Linked DNA regions of Macaca fascicularis. The protein of the gene in region 2 interacts with the protein of the main gene of each other region in a pairwise test. Links are inferred from orthologs where the notes say so. Each region holds a gene or a part of one and is shown on either strand. Other genes may lie near its edges. The genes, in order: TNNI1, PNMA1, FBXL18 and ARID5A.

The links.
Region 1: the proteins of PNMA1 (region 2) and TNNI1 interact in binary tests that used the Homo sapiens proteins (3 or more experiments, as listed by UniProt). The two-hybrid records come from large-scale screens. The link is inferred for Macaca fascicularis from reciprocal best matches to the Homo sapiens genes PNMA1 and TNNI1.
Region 3: the proteins of PNMA1 (region 2) and FBXL18 interact in a two-hybrid assay, tested with the Homo sapiens proteins (2 studies listed by BioGRID). The two-hybrid records come from large-scale screens. The link is inferred for Macaca fascicularis from reciprocal best matches to the Homo sapiens genes PNMA1 and FBXL18.
Region 4: the proteins of PNMA1 (region 2) and ARID5A interact in binary tests that used the Homo sapiens proteins (3 or more experiments, as listed by UniProt). The two-hybrid records come from large-scale screens. The link is inferred for Macaca fascicularis from reciprocal best matches to the Homo sapiens genes PNMA1 and ARID5A.

Annotation. Positions count from the first base shown.
Region 1 is NC_088375.1:59,139,228-59,144,920, forward strand, and holds the end of TNNI1 (troponin I, slow skeletal muscle), read right to left. Parts: intron 5,398-5,693; coding exon 5,308-5,397; intron 3,807-5,307; coding exon 3,630-3,806; intron 2,712-3,629; coding exon 2,604-2,711; 3' UTR 2,602-2,603; intron 1,533-2,601; 3' UTR 1,151-1,532; downstream 1-1,150. UniProt on the Homo sapiens protein: Troponin I is the inhibitory subunit of troponin, the thin filament regulatory complex which confers calcium-sensitivity to striated muscle actomyosin ATPase activity.
Region 2 is NC_088381.1:141,639,609-141,645,516, forward strand, and holds PNMA1 (paraneoplastic antigen Ma1), read right to left. Parts: upstream 3,373-5,908; 5' UTR 2,608-3,372; coding exon 1,546-2,607; 3' UTR 748-1,545; downstream 1-747.
Region 3 is NC_088377.1:45,059,798-45,064,106, reverse strand, and holds the end of FBXL18 (F-box/LRR-repeat protein 18), read left to right. Parts: intron 1-1,909; coding exon 1,910-2,066; 3' UTR 2,067-3,259; downstream 3,260-4,309. UniProt on the Homo sapiens protein: Substrate-recognition component of the SCF (SKP1-CUL1-F-box protein)-type E3 ubiquitin ligase complex.
Region 4 is NC_088387.1:1,558,344-1,563,565, forward strand, and holds part of ARID5A (AT-rich interactive domain-containing protein 5A), read left to right. Parts: intron 1-1,554; coding exon 1,555-1,670; intron 1,671-3,489; coding exon 3,490-3,628; intron 3,629-3,914; coding exon 3,915-3,967; intron 3,968-4,332; coding exon 4,333-4,430; intron 4,431-4,718; coding exon 4,719-4,878; intron 4,879-5,222. UniProt on the Homo sapiens protein: DNA-binding protein that may regulate transcription and act as a repressor by binding to AT-rich stretches in the promoter region of target genes.

The DNA.
Region 1 (5,693 bases), on a different chromosome or scaffold from region 2:
CACTATCCCACTGCCCTGAAAAGTCAGAACTTGACCAGACACGGTGGCTCACGCCTGTAATCCCAGTACTTTGGGAGGCCAAGGTGGGCGGATCACGAGTTCAGGAGTTCAAGACCAGCCTGACCAACATGGTGAAACCCTGTCTCTATTAAAAATACAAAAATTAGCCGGGTGTGGTGGCACACACCTGTAATCCCAGCTACTCAGGAGGTTGAGGCAGGAGAATCGCTTGAACCTGGGAGGCGGAGGTTGCAGTGAGTCGAGATCATGTCACTGCACTCCAGTCTGGGTGACAGAGCGAGACTCCATCTCAAAAAAAGAAAAAAGAAAAAAAGGAAAATCAGAACTTTGCTCTCTGCTTCACAGGAGCCTCTCTCACAAGTATGATGGGGGAAGAGGGGCTGCCCCAGACCCCCACTCCACCCCAGCATGCCCTATGCCCTCACCAGGGTTTGGACCCAGAAGTGAGTGGGATGGAGAAAGGACCTGAGCCAGAGGACAGATAAGTGGCCGCCCCCCCCTCCGGGAAAGAATCAGTCCTGGGGGATAGGACCAGTACAGGAGTGTGAAGGGGAAACAATTGGGAGGAGGGTGAGTGAAAGTGGGGAGAGCAGAGGCGGGAGGGACAGGAGTGCCCAGGACAGAAGGAAGGAGTCACCTGGTGGCCAGGCCTGGAACTGCAAGTATCTCTTCTGTGAGGCCTCCTGCCCTGTGCAGCTGGACTAGGTGAGGGATTGAAAGTGCCCTGACCTCTCAGCCCGGAGCAGTCAGGTACACCCAGCAGACATCAGGGAGAGTTAATCTAGCTTTGCAGAGGAAGGAGAGTATGAAATCCGGCAGGAGAAGCGGCTCTGAATGGAGAAGCCTCTTCTGATGGCCAGAGTCAGGGGCAGGACGGGGTCAGTTCTCGGAGATCAGGGCTCTGGTGAGCTGAGCATCCTGGGTGGTGAGTGTGTGCTGTGTGACATCACAGGGACTCGGCAGAAGGGGCCCCAGGGGACCCTGGCAAGCAGCCACCAATTCCTTAGCCCTCCCTTCAGATCCTGGACTGTGGACTGCAGACAGGCTGACTGGAGCCCAGCACAGCCCTCTCTTCACAAGCCCCAAGTCTTCCCTTTCTTCTCCGTGCTCACAGTCAGAGCTGCAGAAATGACCAGGAAACTGGGTTTTTAATGAAGATGGCTGTGGACACTGTACACACATAGAAGGGGTGTGGCACAGGGCTAGAGGAAAGGTGCTCTCACTCCCTCCTCGTCCTTCACCTGTTACACCACAGGGTAGCTGGGAAGCCCCAAGTGCCTCATGGATGGGTGGGAGCCCACCCTGCTGGGGTGAGGTCTTCAGACACTCTCGTTTGTCCTGCCTCTTGGATATCTCTTTAATCCCAGTTCCAGAGGAGGGCATGCAGGCTGGAGGGAAGAAGTGAGGGGGGAGGTGGGAAGGGATGCTCCAGACACGGGCAGAGAAGTGAGTGAGCTGGGTTGGAGAAGAAGCATGAAGCAGGAGCTCAGAGCGCAGCACAGCAAGCTGGCCTGTAGGGACAAAGAGGCGAAGCCATCAGTTCCCGGGGACCTGTGTGCAGTGCATGAATCCCTGACTTACCTACAGCACATGCAGTCTCCAGGGCTTCTCACCCCTAGCGCACCCCTGGCTGGATCTTCATTCATAGGGGCTCCTACAAGACCTCAGCTTCTCAGCCCACAGGCACAGTTTCTCCCCTTTTGGGACCCCTCACACTGCTCCTCCGCACTGCGGCCCTCAGCTCTTACCTGGCCTTGCCATGCTACTCTGTGGGTGGTTAATTCCCACCTCCATGCTTCTGTTGCACCATCAGCCCTTTAACGTGCCCTTCCCGTTATCAGCTAACACTTGCCCATCACGTCCTCAGAGAACTCCTCCTCTCCAGAAAGCCTGCTCCGACCAGTGCTATCTGGTGGATGCCTGCCCTATTGCACATTCTCTCAGCACTTCCACAGACGGTTTTATGTGGCCTGATTTCCTTGCTTGGCCCAGTTTCTCCAGCTTTTTCCTCAGAGAGTGGGAAGTGTTAGCTTCTCTGAGTGGTAGCTCCTTGGGAACAGGTACTGTGAGTGCTGGGTACTTCGCAGGGAGCACAAATAAAGGACATCACCAGGAGGTATTTAAAAGAGCATAGATTCTCAGAAAGTCAGAGATGAAGGGACCCCAGGGATCCTCTAACCTAGTGGTTCTGAAACTCTCCATGTGCATCAGAATCACCTGGAAGGCTGGTCTCACCCCAGAGTTTCCAATTTAGTGGACCTGGGGTGGGGGGTGATCATTTGCATCCCAGGTGATGTAGATGCTGCTGGTCCCGGGACCACACCTGGAGAACCACTGATTTAACACAGCCCCCAATTTCATAGAGGAGGGGAACAAAAAGGGCCCCCAAACAGAAATGACATGCCCAAGGTATCACGGTGCTGGAGCCAGGACTGAGCCCAGGAGAGCCGACTCAAATCAGTCTCATCAGTGCCTTTGTCCCTGCACCACACTGAGTACAACCTGCCTGCCCATCGTGGACTCCCTCATTATCCTCTAGACTCTGATGGACCCCAGAGAAGGGAGCTGATCTCTAGGTACCTCTATTGTGAGGTCGGAGACTTGGCAGCATCAAACATCTTCTTCCGGCCTTCCATGCCAGACATGGCCTCCACATTCTTCCTCCAGTCACCCACCTCCACAGGCCGCTCCTGTGGACAAGTGGCACACACATCAGGGACTTACCAGGCTGGATGCCCCCCCCAGCTCAAGAGAAGTTGGGTGATAGAAAACCAGTCTCCTCAGATGATAAGAAATCCCAATGCCCCTCCCCAGCTGTTTAAGTCCTAGGACTCAGCCAGGCAGGTGGACACGGGCCAAGCCGAGGCCCCACAGGAAGCTGTGTGGCTTGGGAGCACTGGGTGATAGTGGCAGCTACGGGGCTAGTTCCCACCTCAATGCACCTGAGCAAAACCTCCTCCCAGGCCCCATGCCACCCTCCTGGTCTGGCACTCTGCAGGCTCAAGGCCACCTCTTCCAAGAAGCCTTCCCCTGCGAATGTGACTGCTTTTCCATTTCCTCAGTATACTGCCTGGCTTATCTCTTGTCCTCTGAAGCTTCTTGGGCCAGAGACTATGTTCCTGTCATCCCTGTTCCTTACAGAGCCTATCAATTTGGGGCACATATACTGTGAGTTCAACCAACTTTGAATAATTTGTTGCTGGGTGGTTGAACTCAGTTCTCTAACGTCTGTGCTCATGTGTGGCTATCACCAAGATGAGCTGCTGTCTCCTTTCCCTGTGGTGACCAGGCAGTCACCTCCAACATTACCCTATATCTCCATGTTCTCTTCACACTGGGAACAAGATTTTTGCTTCATGTCTCAGTCTGGGGTCTAGCTTTCTTTATGTCCTAGTTTCTTCATCAGACTGGGAACAGCCTGAAGAAAGGGAGCAAGTCTTCTTTCTTTCTTCCCACACTGGTCTTCCAAAACATTCTAGAACATTCTCTCTGTCAAGCTGACTGGCCTCCAACAGGAGCTCCTGGGCCTGCCTGAGGCCATGTGAGGGGTTGACAAGGGGAAAGCTGGTAGGGAAGAGGGTGGAAGGTTCTGAGGAAAGGGACCTCACCTTCTCTGTGTCTTCCTTCTTCACAGACTTGAGGTTGGCCCGCAGATCCATGGACACCTTGTGCTTGGAACCCAGCAGGGCCCGGAGCATGGCGTCAGCCGAGACACGGACCCGACGCAGGGGCGGGCGCTTGAACTTCCCACGGAGGTCCATCACCTTCAGCTTCAGGTCCTTAATCTGCAGGTGAGAAGCGCCCGGGGCTCACTGGAGAGGGAGCTAGCCACAGGGCACCCTTCCTAAGGACCTCAGATTGCTAGGGTTCCAGCCAGAGATACACCTTAATTTGTCCACCCTTGAAGCCAGACCTATCAGCAGTCACCAGCCTTTTCGTCACCAGGGACTGGTTTTGTGGAAGACGCTTTTTCCACGGAGAGGTGGTGGGGTGGTTTCAGGATGAAACTGTTCCACCTCAGACCATCAGGCATGAGTTTGATTCTCATAAGGAGTGTGCAACCTAGATTCCTCGCGTGCACAGTTCACAATAGGGTTCACACTCCTGTGAGAATCTAATGCCACTGCTGATCTGACAGGAGGCAGAGCTCGGGTGGGAATGCTCACTCACCCACTGCTCACCTCCTGCTGTGCAGCCCAGTTCCTAACAGGCCACGGATTAGTACTGGTCCACAGCCCAAGAGTTGGAGACCCTGCTCTAGGACAGTCAGACCCACCCACCCCTTTGCAAATAGCCACTGTACATTTGCTGATAAATGGATAGTTAATCAGATAGATAAAGCCTATTGGCCATTGCTAATACTGTAACCTTGAATAAAAGGGGTAGCTCCACCAGACTGAGACTTGTCTGGTTTGGAAGCCCTATTTGGAGTGCAGGGTTGCTTCCTTTTGTTCCTGTAGCCTCATCCCTGCTTCTAACTTATTCCTCCCCAGTGAGCCTTCAAAGCAGCTCACAGCCTTGGTCCAGCAGGGTGATAAACTTCCAGGTCCTAGACCCCTGGAGGAATTTCCAGGGTGTGATCTCTAGAGGGAATTCTTAGGAGCTTGGTGACCCCACATATCATTCCCGGTGGGCAGAAGTGGGAAGGAGGGAAGTGACTTGTGCTACCTCCCTGCCCCCTCCTCACTGCTTGGACAAATGACCCAAAGGAGCCCTGTCCTTCCCTGTTCTGCCCCACCCCACTGGAGCAGGGTCTGGATGGAGTTAATCCTCCCACACTCCATGCTAAGGGAGCACAGAGTACCGAAGTGGGAGCCAGAGACCAGCACTGGTCCCAGGACCACCACTGTGCAACCTAGGACAAGTCCTTGGCCTCTCTGATCCTGAGTGTTCTCCTCTGCAAGGTGCAAATAGCCCCTACTTCATCCACAGGCCTATAGGGAGGATCAAAGGCTACAACACACATGAAAGCACTTCACAAAGGTAAGACGTTATTAACAGGCATATGATTATTTGTGTGGGTGGATAAAGAGAGTGGCTTCTGTTAGGCTGATGAGCCCACATGGCAGGTAGGGAGGAAGTTTGTACTTTTCATGTGTGATTATCCACTCTGCCCATCTCCAGATCTCCAGCCCTATGGGGCTAGGGCGGAGAAACCAAAGGTTCCTGCTTAAGTGGCCCCTTCCAGGCCCTGTGGAAGGAGGGGACCTCCCATGGCTGCTGTATCCGTGCCCATGCCCCTGCCTAGCCCACCCTGGCCATGCCCCTTCCCTTCCTTAGACTCACCTCCCTGGTGTTGTGGAGACATTTGGCCTCAATGTCGTATCGCTCCTCATCCACCACCTCTACCTTGGCATGCAGCTCCCGGCACAGGTCCTGGGGGTGGCAGATGGATCAGGCAGGCGTGAAGAAGAGCGGAACAGAGCCATCAGTTTCCAGCCCTTGACCCTCTCCCCAGCCCCTTTGCAAGACCTGGGATCCAGAGAGGAGCTGACAGTTTCCTCCACTCTGAGGCTCATGACAGGCAATAGCTCAAAGGGTATGCCCTCTGTTCTCCTGTCTATATGTCGTGCTTTCTTAAAAACAGTATTCCTTTGCTTGAACCCAGGAGGCAGAGGTTGCAATGAGCTAAGATCACACCACTGCACTCCAGCCTGGCGACAGAGTGAGAC
Region 2 (5,908 bases):
CCTCGGCCTCCCAAAGTGCTGGGATTACAGGCGTGAGCCACCGCGCCCGGCCTAGATTTTTTTTTTTTTTTTGAGACAAGAGTCTCACTCTGTTGCCCAGGCTGCAGTGCAGTGGCGCAATCTCGGCTCACTGCAACCTCTGCCTCCCAGAGTGATTCTCCTGCCTCAGCTTCCCAAGTAGCCGGAATTAAAGGCACCCACCACCACACCCGGCTAATTTTTGTATTTTTAGTAGAAAAAACTAGATGGCTCATGCCTGTAATCCCAGCACTTTGGGAAGCCGAGGCAGGTGGATCACTTGAGGTCAGGCGTTCCAGACCAACCTGACCAACGTGGTGAAACCCATCTCTACTAAAAAAAATACAAAATTAGCTAGGTGTGGTGGCACATGCCTGTAATCCCAGCTACTCAGGAGGCTGAGGCAGGAGAATCACTTGAATCCGGGAGGCAGACGTTGCAGTGAGCTGAGATCGCTCCATTGCACTCCAGCCTGGGCAACAGAGCAAGACCCTCTCTGCCCTTAATAAAAATAAAAAATTTAAAAAATTAAAAAATAAACCAAAAAAATGTTAAGATGACAGCAAGAGGGGAAGGAAAAAAAAGGACTTGCCATTTAAATTCACATAGTATCATACAAAGCTTAAGAGTAAAATAAATGGTTTAATGACAAAGTCTTCATAAGAAAAAAGGACAGAGTTTACTTAGGCTAAAAATGTTTATACATGCCAGAAAAATGAGAAGACAACAGAATTTTTAAAATATTTTAATTTGTATATATAACTTCAAATTTAGAACACTCAGTATGAACAAGAACTATTCTCTGACAAAGATCTGAAATGGGGAAGTGAATTACTGTACAGGTGCATATCAACCTCTCCATGCAATTTACATCTGTATCTTATGCAATGAGAAACTGGTTTACACAGCTCCGTAATTGCAGTATTTTTTTAACACCCCATTTTGCAGTCTCAGAATACTTTTCAATTAAACTGATCGACATGTTTAAAGATGAGAAATATGATGTTTGCATTGTAAAGTTGAGTAATAGCTAATAAATGCACATTTCCTTCCATCAATATAAATCTGGAACTATTTATGGTAAAGAAAAATCTATCTGCGCTATCAGTAATCTAATAGTTCATACTTTTACTGAACACTTCCTGTGAGCCAGGCCCCGTAGTAAACATCTGCACATGCAATTTCACATTCAGTGTGGAATAGGAAGTGTCAGAGGTTCGTGTGTTTTTCACAACTGATTATGATGTCCATGATGACAGCGTGCACTAAGCGCTGTGTCCAACCAACCCTTTACCTGGCACTTTAGCCAGCAAGACCCACTTGCATTGTAGCAGCTCACGGTGCTCGCTTGCACAATTTTAGAATGTTACATGAATACTCAGGCCTGACTAACCTTCCCCTCCAAAAAAACAACAAAACGGAACAGGGCTAAGCCTTTACTACTCAGAGACACATCTGTAAGACCCCCACAGGGACAAGAAAACTAGCTGTGATCTAGGTCTGCACTAAAGCTGTCTTTTCTGGCACTCAGAAGTGCCCTTCCAGGCCTAACTGCAGAAGGGTGGCCTCAGCCTCCTCCTCCTCCTCCTTGGCTTCCTCCTCACGGATCTGCACCAGCAACTGAAAGAGGTTTGGGGCCGGCCCTTCCCCAGCCCCGGTAAGCCACAGCTGCCTTCGGATGGCCCCGCTGTGGTTGGCCCCAGCAATGACCTGCTCTAGGCGGGCCTGGTTCACGTTATCTTTATCAATGGCCCCCTTCTCTACCACCTTCTGTAGCAGAGGCTCCAGACGAATGACATAAGCAGACAATTTTTCTCCCGGGTTCTGATAAGTGTTCAGAAATTTGATCTGGGCATCCCTAGAGCTCTCAACGCTCCCAAACACCTGCTCAAGCGCCTTCAGGCATTCGGCAGTGGTTATCGCGGGGTTGTTGGACTTGAGGATGCGAATGACATCAGCGGCAGGGCCTCTAAGGCTCTCCATCAACCGCCGCCTCTTTTCTACATCGGACACCTGCCACTCCTCTAGGACCTCATTAGTGTGCTCCAGCCAGGGATCAAAGGTTTCCTCTCCAGGCCCTGGGATGTCCCTCCCCGAGAAAAGTGTCAGCCTCTTGTACCATATGGACTCAACAAGAGGCTGAATAACATTATCCAAAATATAGTTTAGCATCTCTGCTGGCATCTCTGGGCCCGGGGTCGGAGTAGGGTTCTGAAACCCAAGGACACGCGCAACATCTTGCACGGTCCACCCCTCTCTAGCTAGGAAGAGGTGCAATCTTTCTAAAAATTCAGCATCAGAAGTTGGGGGCTTAAACAACACTTTCCAGACCCCTCCTTTGCCCGGCATCTCCCTGGGGATCGCGGCGTAATCGACAGCGCCAGTGAGCTCTAATAAGGCTGCTTTCGCATTTTCTTCCCTCCAGAACATTCTCCCAAGCATTCGGTAGGGGACCTGGGGCATCGCTGCCTGGAGGGTCTCTTCGATTTCAGCCTCATCACAGTTCACTGGGATGCCCCAGACCAACAGAGCTCTCTGGGAGTTCACATCCATCCCCCGGCACCAGTCTTCCAACAGTGTCATCGCCATTTTCTCAACTATCAAGACGCCAATTCTACCAACAGACTGTGGCTCACCGTACTCCTGGCCTTAGAACAATACCAGACACTCCCACCAAATAGGCCCAAGGGAGGTAGGCTTCATGCATTCACGACTAACAAAGACACAGAGTCCTGATCTCGCCCTTCTCTGCCCCCCCAGTCAGTCCGTAGGTACACTTGGAGCTGAGCTCGGGGACGCTGAGGAAGTCACGCGGCCGTCGCCATCTTGCGTCTGGGTCCGGGTCCGGTCGGGTCTGCCGCTTGCAGCCGGGCTGTCGCGTCGTCGTGCAGCGGGCAAGGAGCGAGGGCGGGCGGCGAAGGCAGGCGCGCTGGGTCGAAAGCAGCCGGGGTGTGGTCGCGGGGCGTGCCCGCCGGGCGCTCGCTGCGGCTCCTGGAGAGGATCGGGCGTTCGCGGTCGCAGCCCGGTCTTCCCGCGGGCGAGGAGCGGCCGTTTGGGAGACTAGCCAGAGGGAGAGACTGTGCCGAAGTCGCGGCGGCTGCGGGCCAGCGGAGAGCGGCTTCTTGGAGGGCGTGGGGACTCCTCTTGGCGGGCGCGGGGACTCCTCTGGGCGGGCGGCGAGGACGGCCGAGGACCAGAAACGAAGGCAGCAGAGGAGCAGGAAAGCCGGAGAAGCGAGGCTGGAAACAGCACAGGCAAGGGTGGGCAGCGGCGGCCGCGGCGGCCTGCAGCGGCTCAGGCGCTGCGCGGCTGCCCCAGCGTCGAGTCCTACCCGCAACCCGCTGCGACGTTACTGCTGCAGTGGAGGATGGGGCCAGCCCGCGAGCGGCGTCAGCCCCGCCCCGTCCCGCCCCCGCGGCGGAGCCGCTCGGGCGTCGCCATGGCAACGGCGCCCCAGCTGGCGCGAATCACGCCTGCTCCGGCGGCCCGCGGGGGTCGAGCGGTTGCCATGGTGCCAGCGAGGGGCTTGGGCATTTGTTTCTCTGATGGCGCATTTCCTTTTTCATAATTTTCCATTTTAACAGCAAACAAATACTGCTAAGCACCGTGTTTTAAAAATAATAACCCAATCCTGGAGTGCATTTAAGATGATACTATTGGAAGTCATGGCATCCCTCATGGTGGACTTGTCTACTCGGGTTGCCCAGCCAGTCCACCCTGCACGTGAAAATACTCTCCTCAGAACCCTGGCTTCCCGTTACCCCTGACCACACTGTGCACCCTGCATATTTTATCCCAATGAAGCCGGAGTGCGCCATTTTTTGTGTGAGATACTGAGTTTAGACTTTTTCTTGTCTAAACTTTTGTAAACATCTGTTTGTCTGTGTCTACTGAGTCATCTTTTAGCCAGGCAAACATTAGTGTTATTTTCCTTTTCCTGGCTGGCATCGACAATAGGCTGCTAAAAGAGAATCCTTATGGCTCAAAAATGTCGAGTAATCTCCCTGCAAGCAAGACAAGGCCCACTTACATCAACCCCAGATGGTGAAAATCCCGAGAGAACATAGCATTCAACTCTGAATTTTTAAAACCTTATTTAATAAAAGGTTTAAAGATACAGAAGAACATTCAAAAGTAAATAAGTTACATAGGTACATTACAATCACATCAGCAAGATTCTTTAGTGTATTAATTTTTTCTTATAAAAAGCACACAAAAAATAAAATCTTCAGTCTCTATCACAACTGTACAGCAAAAGAGGTAATATTTATATGTATGTACACTATTTTAATATGTAACAGTCTTTTTCAAAAAGGGTGCCACAGGCAGCAAACACACAAAAGGCAGTGTCTGATCATTTTTGTTTCAAAATAAAAGGAATATACTTATTTATATGCTATTAAAATATTTGTACAATAATTACAGACTGTCAAGGCTGTTCCTGTGCTCTGTCCCCTCCAACAAGGCCTTCAACTTAGAGACAAATGAGGAAAAAGTGAAACAGCTGCAAATTGTTAGAGGCAAATATTAACATAGCAAAATGTGGGGAGGACACAATTGTTTTATAAAAATATCCCTACTTCCTGTAAACCTATGGAGTTAGGCTTGCCAGTCTGATAATAAATACCGTCCCAGAAAAGCGAGCCCCAGTGAAAACAACTAAACAGCTGAGGCTTGAGCATGTGTTGTATTCCTCCTTCATCTTAACATCTGGCACATGAGAAGAAAGAGGTTAGGTCACTGAGGCAGTTAAATATAGGCGATCCCTTTAGACATAAGCAGCAAAAGACCTTGGTGCCAGGAGTGGAAGGGGGCGCGGCAGAAGGGGTGGTATGTACCTTAGCTGTGAGGGGGGCTGCTGAAGGCATGGAGGACAGTAATGATGGCTCTGCCTCCTTGGATGGGTGGAGACCTCAGAAATGGTCTGCAGCACAGGCACTAGGTCAGTTTCCCGCCCTTAGCTGAATGCAGATGGATGCTGGGAGATGGATATGGTGAGATGGTGTGGGGAGGATGTTAAGAAAGCTGGAGGTGTTTATCACTTCTCAGAGCTCTGAATATAGGGAAAAAAACAACAAGAGACAAGCCCAGGGAGAAAGCACCATTAAGGATATACCTATGCCAGCTTCTATAGCTGCACCTACTTTATTGGCAAGTCACTTGCCACAATTACATCTACCCTCTAAACTTTTTAATTTTCACACTGTATCCAAGACATGAATGCATCCTGGAGCATGGACCTTCCTAAAATATGGTGTCTGGCAGGATTAATGCAGAGAGGTACCATCTTGATTTTCCCCAGTTACATTCACCGGGTCTGGTCTCTGTAAGCTTAGAAGAGTAGAATCACTTTCTTGTTTAAACATTTACGGCCGGGCGCGGTGGTTCACGCCTGTAATGCCAGCACTTTGGGAGGCCGAGGCGAGTGGATCACCTAAGGTCAGGAGTTCAAGACCAGCCTGTCCAACATGGCAAAACCCCGTCTCTACTAAAAAAAAAAACATACAAAAATATTAGCTGGGTGTGGTGGTGTGTGCCTGTAATCCCAGCTACTCAGGAGGCTGAAGCAGGAGAATCCTTTAACCCGAGAGGCAGAGGTTGCAGTGAGCCGAGATCGCACCACTGCACTCCAGCCTGGGCGACAGAATGGGACTCTGTCGCAAAAAAAAAAAAAATTTTTTTTCCAAGTACAAGATGTTACCACTGAACAAAAGGGTCTCCTGAATGATGGAGGTTTCTGTTACCCTATGTCCATAAAGGGGACTGAAACCAAATATGGTTTGAATAGAAAAAACCTTGGGAAACGTAAGTAGCACTTTGGGGCTAAGCTGCGAAGGCACTCGTATTATACAAGTAATTTCGAAGAGAGCCTAAATTTGCTACCCCCCTG
Region 3 (4,309 bases), on a different chromosome or scaffold from region 2:
GGTTCTTTGTTGTGGGTGCCTCCCTGCCTTGCACCCACTGAGACCCTCTAGGAAGAAGTGTCTGGATTTTTTTTTTTTCTTTTTTGAGACGGAGTCTCGCTCTGTTGCCCAGGCTGGAGTGCAATGGTATGATCTCGGCTCACTGCTAACTCCACCTCCTGGGTTTGAGGGATTCTCCTGCCTCAGCCTCCTGAGTAGCTGGGACTACAGGCACCCGCCACCACGCCCGGCTCATTTTTGTATTTTTAGTAGAGATGGGGTTTCACCATGTTGGCCACGCTGGTCTCAAACTCCTGACCTCAGGTGATCCATCTGCCTCTGCCTCCCAAAGTGCTGGGGTTACCGTCGTGAGCCACTGCGCCCGGCCTGGATGTTTTTGTCTTGCTCTCTGGGGCACTGCTATGTTTTTCCCTCTGCCTGGAGCTCCTGGGCTGACACTTGGGTCTTTGCATTTTCTTTTCTTTCTTTCTTTTTTTTTTTTTTTAGAGACAGGGTCTTACTGTGTTGCCCAGGCTGGAGTACAGTGGTGTGATCATAGCTCACTGCCGCCTCTACCTCCGGGGCTCAAGTGATCCTCCTGCCTCAGCCTCCTGAGTAGCTGAGGTGACAGGCATGCGCCACCATGCCTTACTAATTTTTTAATTTTTTTTTTTTTTTTTTGAGACGGAGTCTCGCTCTGTCACCCAGGCTGGAGTGCAGTGGCCGGATCTCAGCTCACTGCAAGCTCTGCCTCCCGGGTTCACGCCATTCTCCTGCCTCAGCCTCCTGAGTAGCTGGGACTACAGGCGCCTGCCACCTCGCCCGGCTAGTTTTTGTATTTTTAGTAGAGACGGGGTTTCACTGTGTTAGCCAGGATGGTCTCGATCTCCTGACCTCGTGATCCTCCCGTCTCGGCCTCCCAAAGTGCTGGGATTACAGGCTTGAGCCACCGCGCCCGGCCTTTAATATTTTTTATAGAGACAGAGTCTCCCTATGTTGCCCAGGCTGTTCTGGAACTCCTGTCCTCAAACGAGTCTCCCACCTCAGCCTCCCAGGTGTTGGGATTACAGGAGCAAGCCACAGTGCCCGGCTTGCATTGCATTTTGGCCAAATAGGGCCAGTAGGACTGTGCTGGTGACCTGCTCTGACTGGGTGGGGAATCCTTGCTCTGCTTCATGGCCCGCTGGGGGACCGTGGCTCGTTGTAGGGTTGTGGGGAAGGCAAAATGAGGTCATGTCTGTCGAGCTCAGAGCCGTGCCTGGCACTCGGTGGGCACCCCGTGGCAATTGTGCATGAGTTTTCATGCATGCAGGCTGGTCGCCTGGGGGCGGGGGCTTTGGGAGCGTCGCCCACCTGCCATTTGTCATGCAGTCAAACGTGTGCTTTTCCCGAGTAGCCGCTTTGGTATCTGCTCCTCCTAGTGACTGCTGCTGCCTCACTGACTTGGGAGTCGCACCCCCTTGAGGTGGCCCACGTGTGGCTGTGGGGTGTGGACACCTGTCCCTTCTCTCTGTCCTGGCCGTGGGACGTCCATGGGCCAGGTGCCTTGAATTTGCCACTCTTGCAGTGGGGTCCCTCTGCTGCCTTGGAGCACGGCAGCCTGTCCTGGCAGCTCTCCCGCATCTGCAGAGCAGGGTTGGCCTCTGGGGCCTCTGATACTCGTGGCTGGCATGGAGCAGGTGCCCCCTGAACCTGGAGAGAAGCGTGTTGCCTGTTCCCGGCTGCCCTGCTCCTCCTCAGCTCTGGCTGCCACGTACGGGGCCCTCAAGGCGCATAGAGGGTGACTCTCGCAGCAGGCCTGGTCTCTCCGGGAGCCCCAGGTGAGCCCGGGTGGCGGGGGCAGCTGTGAGTGCCTCCTGGGCTCCCCCGGCAGGCTCTGTCCCCTCCGTGGCCACCCACGTAATCCGCTGACCACCTGTCTCTGGTTCAGCTTCCAGGCCGAGCGGCCCGCATTGAACGTCGTCATCTTCCCTCTGCTCCACGAGGGCCTGACCGACGTCATCCGGGACGTCCCTCTGGTGCACCTGGATGAGATCACCTTATTTAAGAGCAGAGTGGCCGAGGAACCGCCGAACCTGTGGTGGTGAGAGGCCAAGCCGCCGCCCATCGGTCTGAGTCACCTCAAGACGCTGTAGGAGCCTGGGACACCAGGGACCCTTGGTTTGTTACAAGAGGAAGAGGGCCTCTCTCCCGGCCGGCCACGCCCCACCTGGCTCCTGGGGCTCTTGGCATCTCTGCGGCTCTCTCATGGGAACTGTTGCTCTGTGAAGTTTGGGTTGAGGGGATGTGCTCTGGTTGACATGAGGGGGGTCAGGGGACCGTCGATGTGGAGGCTGGCTGAAACAGGCTGACCCTTGGGGCCTGGCTTGGGGGTTTGTACACTGAGCCTCAATACCTGGGGGCCCTGTCGATGGGCCTGGAGGACCGGAACTCCGTGCCATTCTGACTGGGAAGCGTGTCCCTTGGCTGTCGTGTTTGTGGTCACCTGCCACCAGGGCCCCACGGATGGGCGGCCACATGCTGTCCCCCTGAAGTCCAGTCGGCCAGGCTGGTCACCGTGTGTCTGAGTGTCCCCTTGCGTGGCCGAGTGTGACATGGGGAAGGGCTTGCCGGTTTAGGCTGCGGACTTAGGACTCTCCGTCCCATTAGAACACACTTGAGCCCACTCATGTCTCTGGGACTTTTCTAGCCCGATGATGCCTGTGGCCCCAGAGAGGTCCCCTGGGGTTGGGACTGCTGGTTGGAGCCTCTCCTATGGCTTTTCAGCCCAATGAGCAGGGCCTGCTTCTCATGAGAGAGGTCTCCTCCTGCTCCCACCCACCCCACAGCCTTCAGCTTCCCTGGGAAGGTCCATGTGCATTCCTGGGGAAATAGATACACATTCGGCTTTGTTAGAATAACGTGCAACATTAAAACCCAGAAAGGATTCATAAGGCTGGAGTAGCAATCATAGGACCCCATTTCGAATGACTTTATTTAAGACTTTAAAAATACTCAGCTGGGCACGGTGGCTCACGCCTGTAATCTCAGCACTTTGGGAGGTCGAGACGGGTGGATCACAAGGTCAGGAGTTCAAGACCACCCTGGCCAACATGGTGAAACCCCATCTCTACTAAAAATACACAAATTAGCTGGGCGTGGTGGTGGGTGCCTGTAATCCCAGCTACTCGGGAGGCTGAGGCAGGAGAATCATTTGAACCTGGGAGACGGAGGTTGCGGTGAGCTGAGATCACGCCACTGCACTCCAGCCTGGGCGACAGGGCAAGACTCCATCTCAAAATACATATATATATATGTATATGTGTGTGTGTGTATATATATATATATAGTACATTTTGGGAGGATCACTTGACCCGAGGAGTTTGAGACCAGCCTGGGCAACACAGGGATACCCCATCTCTTAAAGAGAAAAAAATTAAAGCTGTTCCAAAAATGAGGACACCTTCCCAGCGTCCGAGGCCCAACCCCATGTGCCACGCTGGTCACCTCTGCCGCCTTCCACCTCCAGGCGCTCCTAGAGCTGTCCCTGGGCTGGTGGCTTCTGAGGGGGGCTGTAGTTGGGTCCTGCTCGCCTGGACCGCCACCTTGGCCGCTCTTGGTGAAGGGCCCCTTGCCCAGCCTGCCGTCATCCTCCTGGGTTTCCATGTGACAGGTCCACCGTCCTGTGGGGCGGTGTCTCACATTTGCCTTGCTGTTAAAAAATGGGGGACACTGTCCCCGGGCCTCTGATCACCGGCCCTGCCCTTGGGCGGGGATGGTTCTCAGCAGCTCCTTGTCCCAGAGGCCTTTGGAGAACTGGGGTCAGAGCTGTAGGGAGGGACAGCCCTCCTGTGCAGGCTGCCTCCCAGCTCTCCACATGGCAGTCTTGGCACTGCCCTGGCGCCTCTGCTCACTGGCACAGGCGGATCTGGGGTTCGAGGTCTCCTCCCACTTCACCCTGACTTTCTTTCTTGTATGTATGGGGTCAACGCCTCCTCTCTGAAGCCCACGGGTCCTCTCCCAGCCCCAGGCTGCACCCAGTGCAGAACCTTTGCCTCCTGGCTGGAGAGGCCGGTCCGCAGGCTGATTTCAGCAGAGCCTGGTGGTGGGACCAGCACCAGACCACACCTTTGCCTCCCAGAGGCCTTCTGGCCCTCCTGTCATGGCCTCTGAGAGCCATACCCCTCGGCCCCGTCTCCTGACCTGCAGGCCGCAGGACCAGCTGCCCACGGCCCACACACACGCTTCCTGGGCGTTTCTTTAGAGCTTTAAAATGGTACCTGGAGACCACCAGGCGCAGTGATCAGATCCGGTGGTGTGGTACCTCCCAGTACTGACCACTTCTTGCTCT
Region 4 (5,222 bases), on a different chromosome or scaffold from region 2:
AAGACATAAGAACACCTACCAAAGCAGGACCACTTTGGGCCACCCTCTTGGGCTAGCTTCTGATACACCCGTCTCCAGAAATCCTGGGTACTAACAAGTGACCCACCGGCCTGATGCCTTTCCAGCGCTTCTGACACACCCGTGTCCAGAAATCCTGGGTACTAACACGTGACCCACCAGCCTGATGCCTTTCCAGCCAAGTCCGCTGTGACTTTGTGCCTCAGTCTTCCCTGCTGTGAAATGGGAGAGGAAGATCCTAGCGTTCTTTGCTAGCCAAGGATTCTACCCCATGCCTCTGAGTACCACTGGCCCCTGGCTTATGCTGCTTTGGGTTTCTTGTTCCCGAGGAGATTCTTTTTCTGTCTGGGATGGAAGGGAAATCTCATAGGTTCCTAACAAAAAGGATGTCCTGGGAGGGAGTGAACCAATTCATACTTGATTAACAAAAGGACAAAGGACAGAAAGAAAAGGTTGTCAGAAGCCGTGGGTTCCTGGTCTGGTGTCTGCTGCCAGCCTGCGGTGTGGCCCGAGGCAGTTTCCAATGGTTGTGGTTTTTGCAGTGGCAGAGGTGTTGCGTTTTTGCAGCCATCGGCACATGGTGGTTCTTAGTAAAATACAGCCCACAGCTTCTCCGGCCCACGACGCAGGGTTGTCGTGAGCCTTGCTCATTCCAGCTTGGCACCTGCTGTGTGGGGTACAGGCAGCCTCACCGAGCTACCAGGGAGCCCCAGGAGCCACCGGCAGTTCAGCCAGGATGGCTGTGAGTAGCCAAGGGCGACGGAGGAGCTGCCCATGGCCAGGGGCCGGAGGAGGCCACCCAGAGGAAGGCACTTGTCACAGAGACCTGAGGGGTCACCAGGACCCTTGCAGGTGAGGGGAGCATGTGGCCTAATTAGGGCAGTTAGAACTCTGCAGATGCTCGGGAAGGTCAGATGTTCCCGAATATTCTCAGGGGAACTACTACCAAAGGACCCCATGTGTTGCTTTGGGACCACAGCCATGGGATCCTTTAGCTCTCTAGTGAGACTGAGCTGCTTCTCAATTGTGTCTCAGCATGGGGCAGATTTTGGAGACAGGATTTCCCCAAGCGCCATAGCCCAACCCCGGCCTCCTGTGACTTGACCTCAAGGTGGTTTTGCGTTTCCTTCAAAGATGTGGGGAGATAGCTGGAGCAGAGGAAAGAAAAGGGGCAGGTGTGGAACAGATGCAGTGGGTTGTGGGGGAGTGGGGAGGAGGGTCTCTGTGTGTGTGTGTGTGTGTGTGTGTAGCCTGTGTGCAGCCAGGGACACACCCCTTCCCCCTGGCCAATTCTTTTTTTTTTTTTTTAATGATAGAGACGGGATCTCACTATGTTGGCCAGACAGGTCTCGAACTCCTGATATCAGGTGATCGCCTGCCTGGGCCTCCCAAAGTGCTGGGATCACAGGAGTGAGATCACAGTCACCGGCGCCCTGTGACGACTCTCACTGGGGATGGGGAGACTGCTCCTGTTCCTCCTGCTTGCATCTGAGGTGTTCTCTCCCCACCCCTTCTTCCTTCCCTCTCTCCTTGCAGCAGCTCCTGTCAAAGGGAACAGGAAGCAGTCCGCAGAGGGTGACATCCTAGATCCACCTGCATCCCCCAAACCTGTTGGCGAGCAGAACGGGAGCCAGAACCCCATCCCACTGGAGGTGAGTCGAGTCCCTCTGCTGACTCCCTGGGCGTTCTTCCCTGCCACCCTCACCCGTGTTCAGCCTCCAGGTGAACCTGGACACTCCCCAAGCTCTCAGGAGGCAGATATGTTCCTACCCTGGCCCTGTCCAGCAGCCAGGGGACTGACTTGTCTTCTGTGCCAGAGAGTTATTGAAACCAAGATTGACTTGGTTTTTGTAGCAGACCCCTTTTTTCAAGTGAAGATGACCCACCACCCTGATCCATAAAACAGACAAAAGCTCCAGCCCGTGATGCAAAACCACATTCACATCCATTCATCCAGGTGCATAACATGGGCATATAAAGTCACTCGGTGAGACCAACAGGGCTGTTGCGATAAGCAGAGTCTGAAGGGGGCGCTGCAGGCAGCTTTTTCGGAGCACAGTTGGCCCCGGCTTTCATTCATTTTGGCCATTTGCTTTGGTGGCACAGTCTGGAAAAGTATCCAGATTCATGCAGAAAAGTGTTTGCAAATGGTAGTTGTCTTTAGCAGCTTGCTGGAAATTCAGAGTAGAGGCCTGGAGGAGCAGATTGACTTGAGCAGCTATGAGAGAGCCTTCCTTCTGAGGTCTGCACAGACCAGCCCCAGGGCCCCGGCATGTTACGATTTCATGGGTGATATATGAGTTCATATGTTGTTTCTTCTCAGAGGTCTTTAATACCTTAAAAACACTGAACTATTACAGAAGCTATTTACAACAAACAAAAAAAGTAACACTGAAATAAACTTGAATCAATTTTTTTTTTTTTTAGGCAGAGTCTCACTGTTACCCAGGCTGGAGGGCAGTAGCACAATCTTGGCTCACTGCAACCTCCACCTCCTGGGTTCAAACGATTCTTCTGCCTCAGCCTCCCGAGTAGCTGTGATTACAGGCATGCACTACCAGGCGTGGCTAATTTTTGTATTTTTAGTAGAGATGGGCTTTCCCCATGTTGGCCAGACTGGTCTCGAACTCCTGACCTCGGGTGATCTGCCCACCTCGGCTTCCCAAAGTGCTAGGATTACCGGCGTGAGCCACCATGCCCAGCTGGATCAAATATTTTGGGAACACATGGCTGTCTGCACTATCCTAGTCTAGATGGTTTATGTCCTGGAAGCTGTCTGTTCTCTGACAGGGTGTAGGCCCTGGGCTCTCTGCCCTGAGCCACTTGCTGGATGAAGGCATCAGCGGAGATTGTCCCTCTGGGACCCGCAACCCAAAGTCCTGTGCCCCTGGCAGCAGTGTGCAGTTGAAGCCAGAGCTTCATCTCCCTGTGCTCAGTACGGCAGGCCGGGGCCACACAGAGGCTCGGGGAACGTGGGCCTGACAGAGCAACCCACGGCACCGGAAAGCACCAGGCACCTTTGTTCCTTCAGCTTTTCCCTCGGCATTGGGGGTAGGGGGGAGGGCGGCGGGGAGTCCCAGGGACACTGAGCCTGCCCTCCAGGAGCTCCTAGTCTGGCAGAGGAGCTGACACAAATATGACAAATCAAGAACAAGACAGAGAAGTGATCCTGGCCTGGAGAAGGCCGGGGACTGCTCTTGTGGCCACCTCTGGAGGCAGCTGCTCTGGGGTGCCCAGCCTCTGGGGGGGGCCCTGAGCTCTAGCCCCTGCCCTAGGGCACTGAGGGCTGATACCTGTGCCAGCCGAACCCATGAACAGTCACTCCCTCCCAGAACAGTGGCCAGGTGCTCTCTGGGAAACTGGGGTTGGGGGCAAGGTACCTTATTCCTCCTGCAGCCAGTGGTTTCTGCACGTCCCCAGCAGCCAGCCACCAACTGGGGCCCATCCCAATGCCTCCTGTTCTCTCCCCAGGACTCCCCCGAGGCAGGCGGGGAGCGGGAGGAGGAGCAGGAGCGGGAGGAGGAGCAGGCCTTCCTGGTCAGCCTCTACAAGTTCATGAAGGAGCGACACACGCCCATCGAGAGGGTGCCCCATCTCGGCTTCAAGCAGAGTGCGTCCCTGGGGTGCAGGCAGGGAGGGGGGCCCAGCAGGGAACCCCACCCAGGCAGGGCATCGGGCAGGCACTCCCACTCTGGGTGACCCAGGTTGCAGATAGAAAGGAGGCCTCCCTCCAGGCTGCCACCGGGCCAGCAGTGCACAGGCCACAGCCTGCCCATCTACTGCAGTGGCCCTGCCTGGGTGTGTGCTGCTCTGTGCCTGCGTGTCAGGGCACTAGGAAGGGGTGGCTGCCCCACCTCCCACGGAGGCTGACGGCCAGCCTGCCCCTCTCTCCCCAGTTAACCTGTGGAAGATCTACAAGGCAGTGGAGAAGCTGGGGGCCTATGAGCTGGTAAGGAAGGCACCCCCAGTCCTTGCCAGACTACATCTCCCTGGGGTGAGCCTGCAACGCTGTCCTTGCCTCTGGACAGGAGAAGAGCCAGGATCCCCAGTCCTGCCTTCCTCCCCGCCTCCCCCGCTGGTTCTCTGCTGCTCAAAGCAGCTTTTCAGCCTTCCCCATCTGTTCTGCCCGCCCCGTGTTGGAAAAACTGCTTGGGCCAGCAGTCCGTGGCCCTGGGAGGGAGAATCAGCCGCTGTCGGAGCCGCAGAGCAGCTGCCAAACCGCAGTGCTTTGGTCCCTGCGAGGGCGGCCAGAGCCGCAAGGACCCCGCCGCCAGGGGGCGCTCGCGGCCGCGCCCTCACCAGGTGCCCTTGCAGGTGACCGGGCGCCGCCTCTGGAAGAACGTGTACGACGAGCTGGGGGGCAGCCCGGGCAGCACCAGCGCGGCCACGTGCACGCGCCGCCACTACGAGAGGTAGGGGGGCGGGCCCGGGTGCTGGACGCCGCCTGCCCTGCGGGGCTCGGTCGACCTTGCTGGGAGGGCTGGGTGGACTCTGTCCGGAGCGGGCGGGGTGGGCGCCGTCCTCAGCGCTGCGGGGGCCCAGGCTGGCTGGGCGCAGACACCGAGGGAGCTGAGCTTTGGGGCGAGGAGGAGAGGGTCTTCTTCGGCGCCGGCGGGAAAGAGGGGCTCAGAGGAGGCCACAGAGGCCGGTGGAGGGGATGGGCGCCGACCTCCTGGGGGACATGCCCGGTTCCTCCCCAGGCTGGTCCTGCCATATGTGCGGCACCTGAAGGGGGAGGATGACAAGCCGCTGCCCACCTCCAAGCCCAGGAAACAGTACAAGATGGCCAAGGAGAACAGGGGGGATGATGGGGCCACCGAGCGGCCGAAGAAGGCCAAGGAGGAGCGGCGCATGGACCAGGTACGCCTGTGGCTGGGTGGGGCCACCCTGTTCCCTGCCTCTTGCAGCCCCCCCACCCCACAACTCCCTGTGGCCACGGAGCTGTCTGCTCAGAACACACCGAACATGCACCCAGGGCGGGACTTGCAAGGTTCCAGGTTCTCCACAGTGCGCAAGTTCTCTACTTGTGCAAGCAGACTGAACTCCAGCCTGCACCCCACCACCAGGCCCTGTGTCCCAACCTGAGGCTGTGTCCGCTCAGAGGACAGGGCTCCTTTGGAAAATTCTGCACAAAGGACTGCAAGAGCTAGCGGGGAACCTGGGCAGGCCTGAAAGTGCCGCCTCCTGCTCCTGAGGTCAGGATG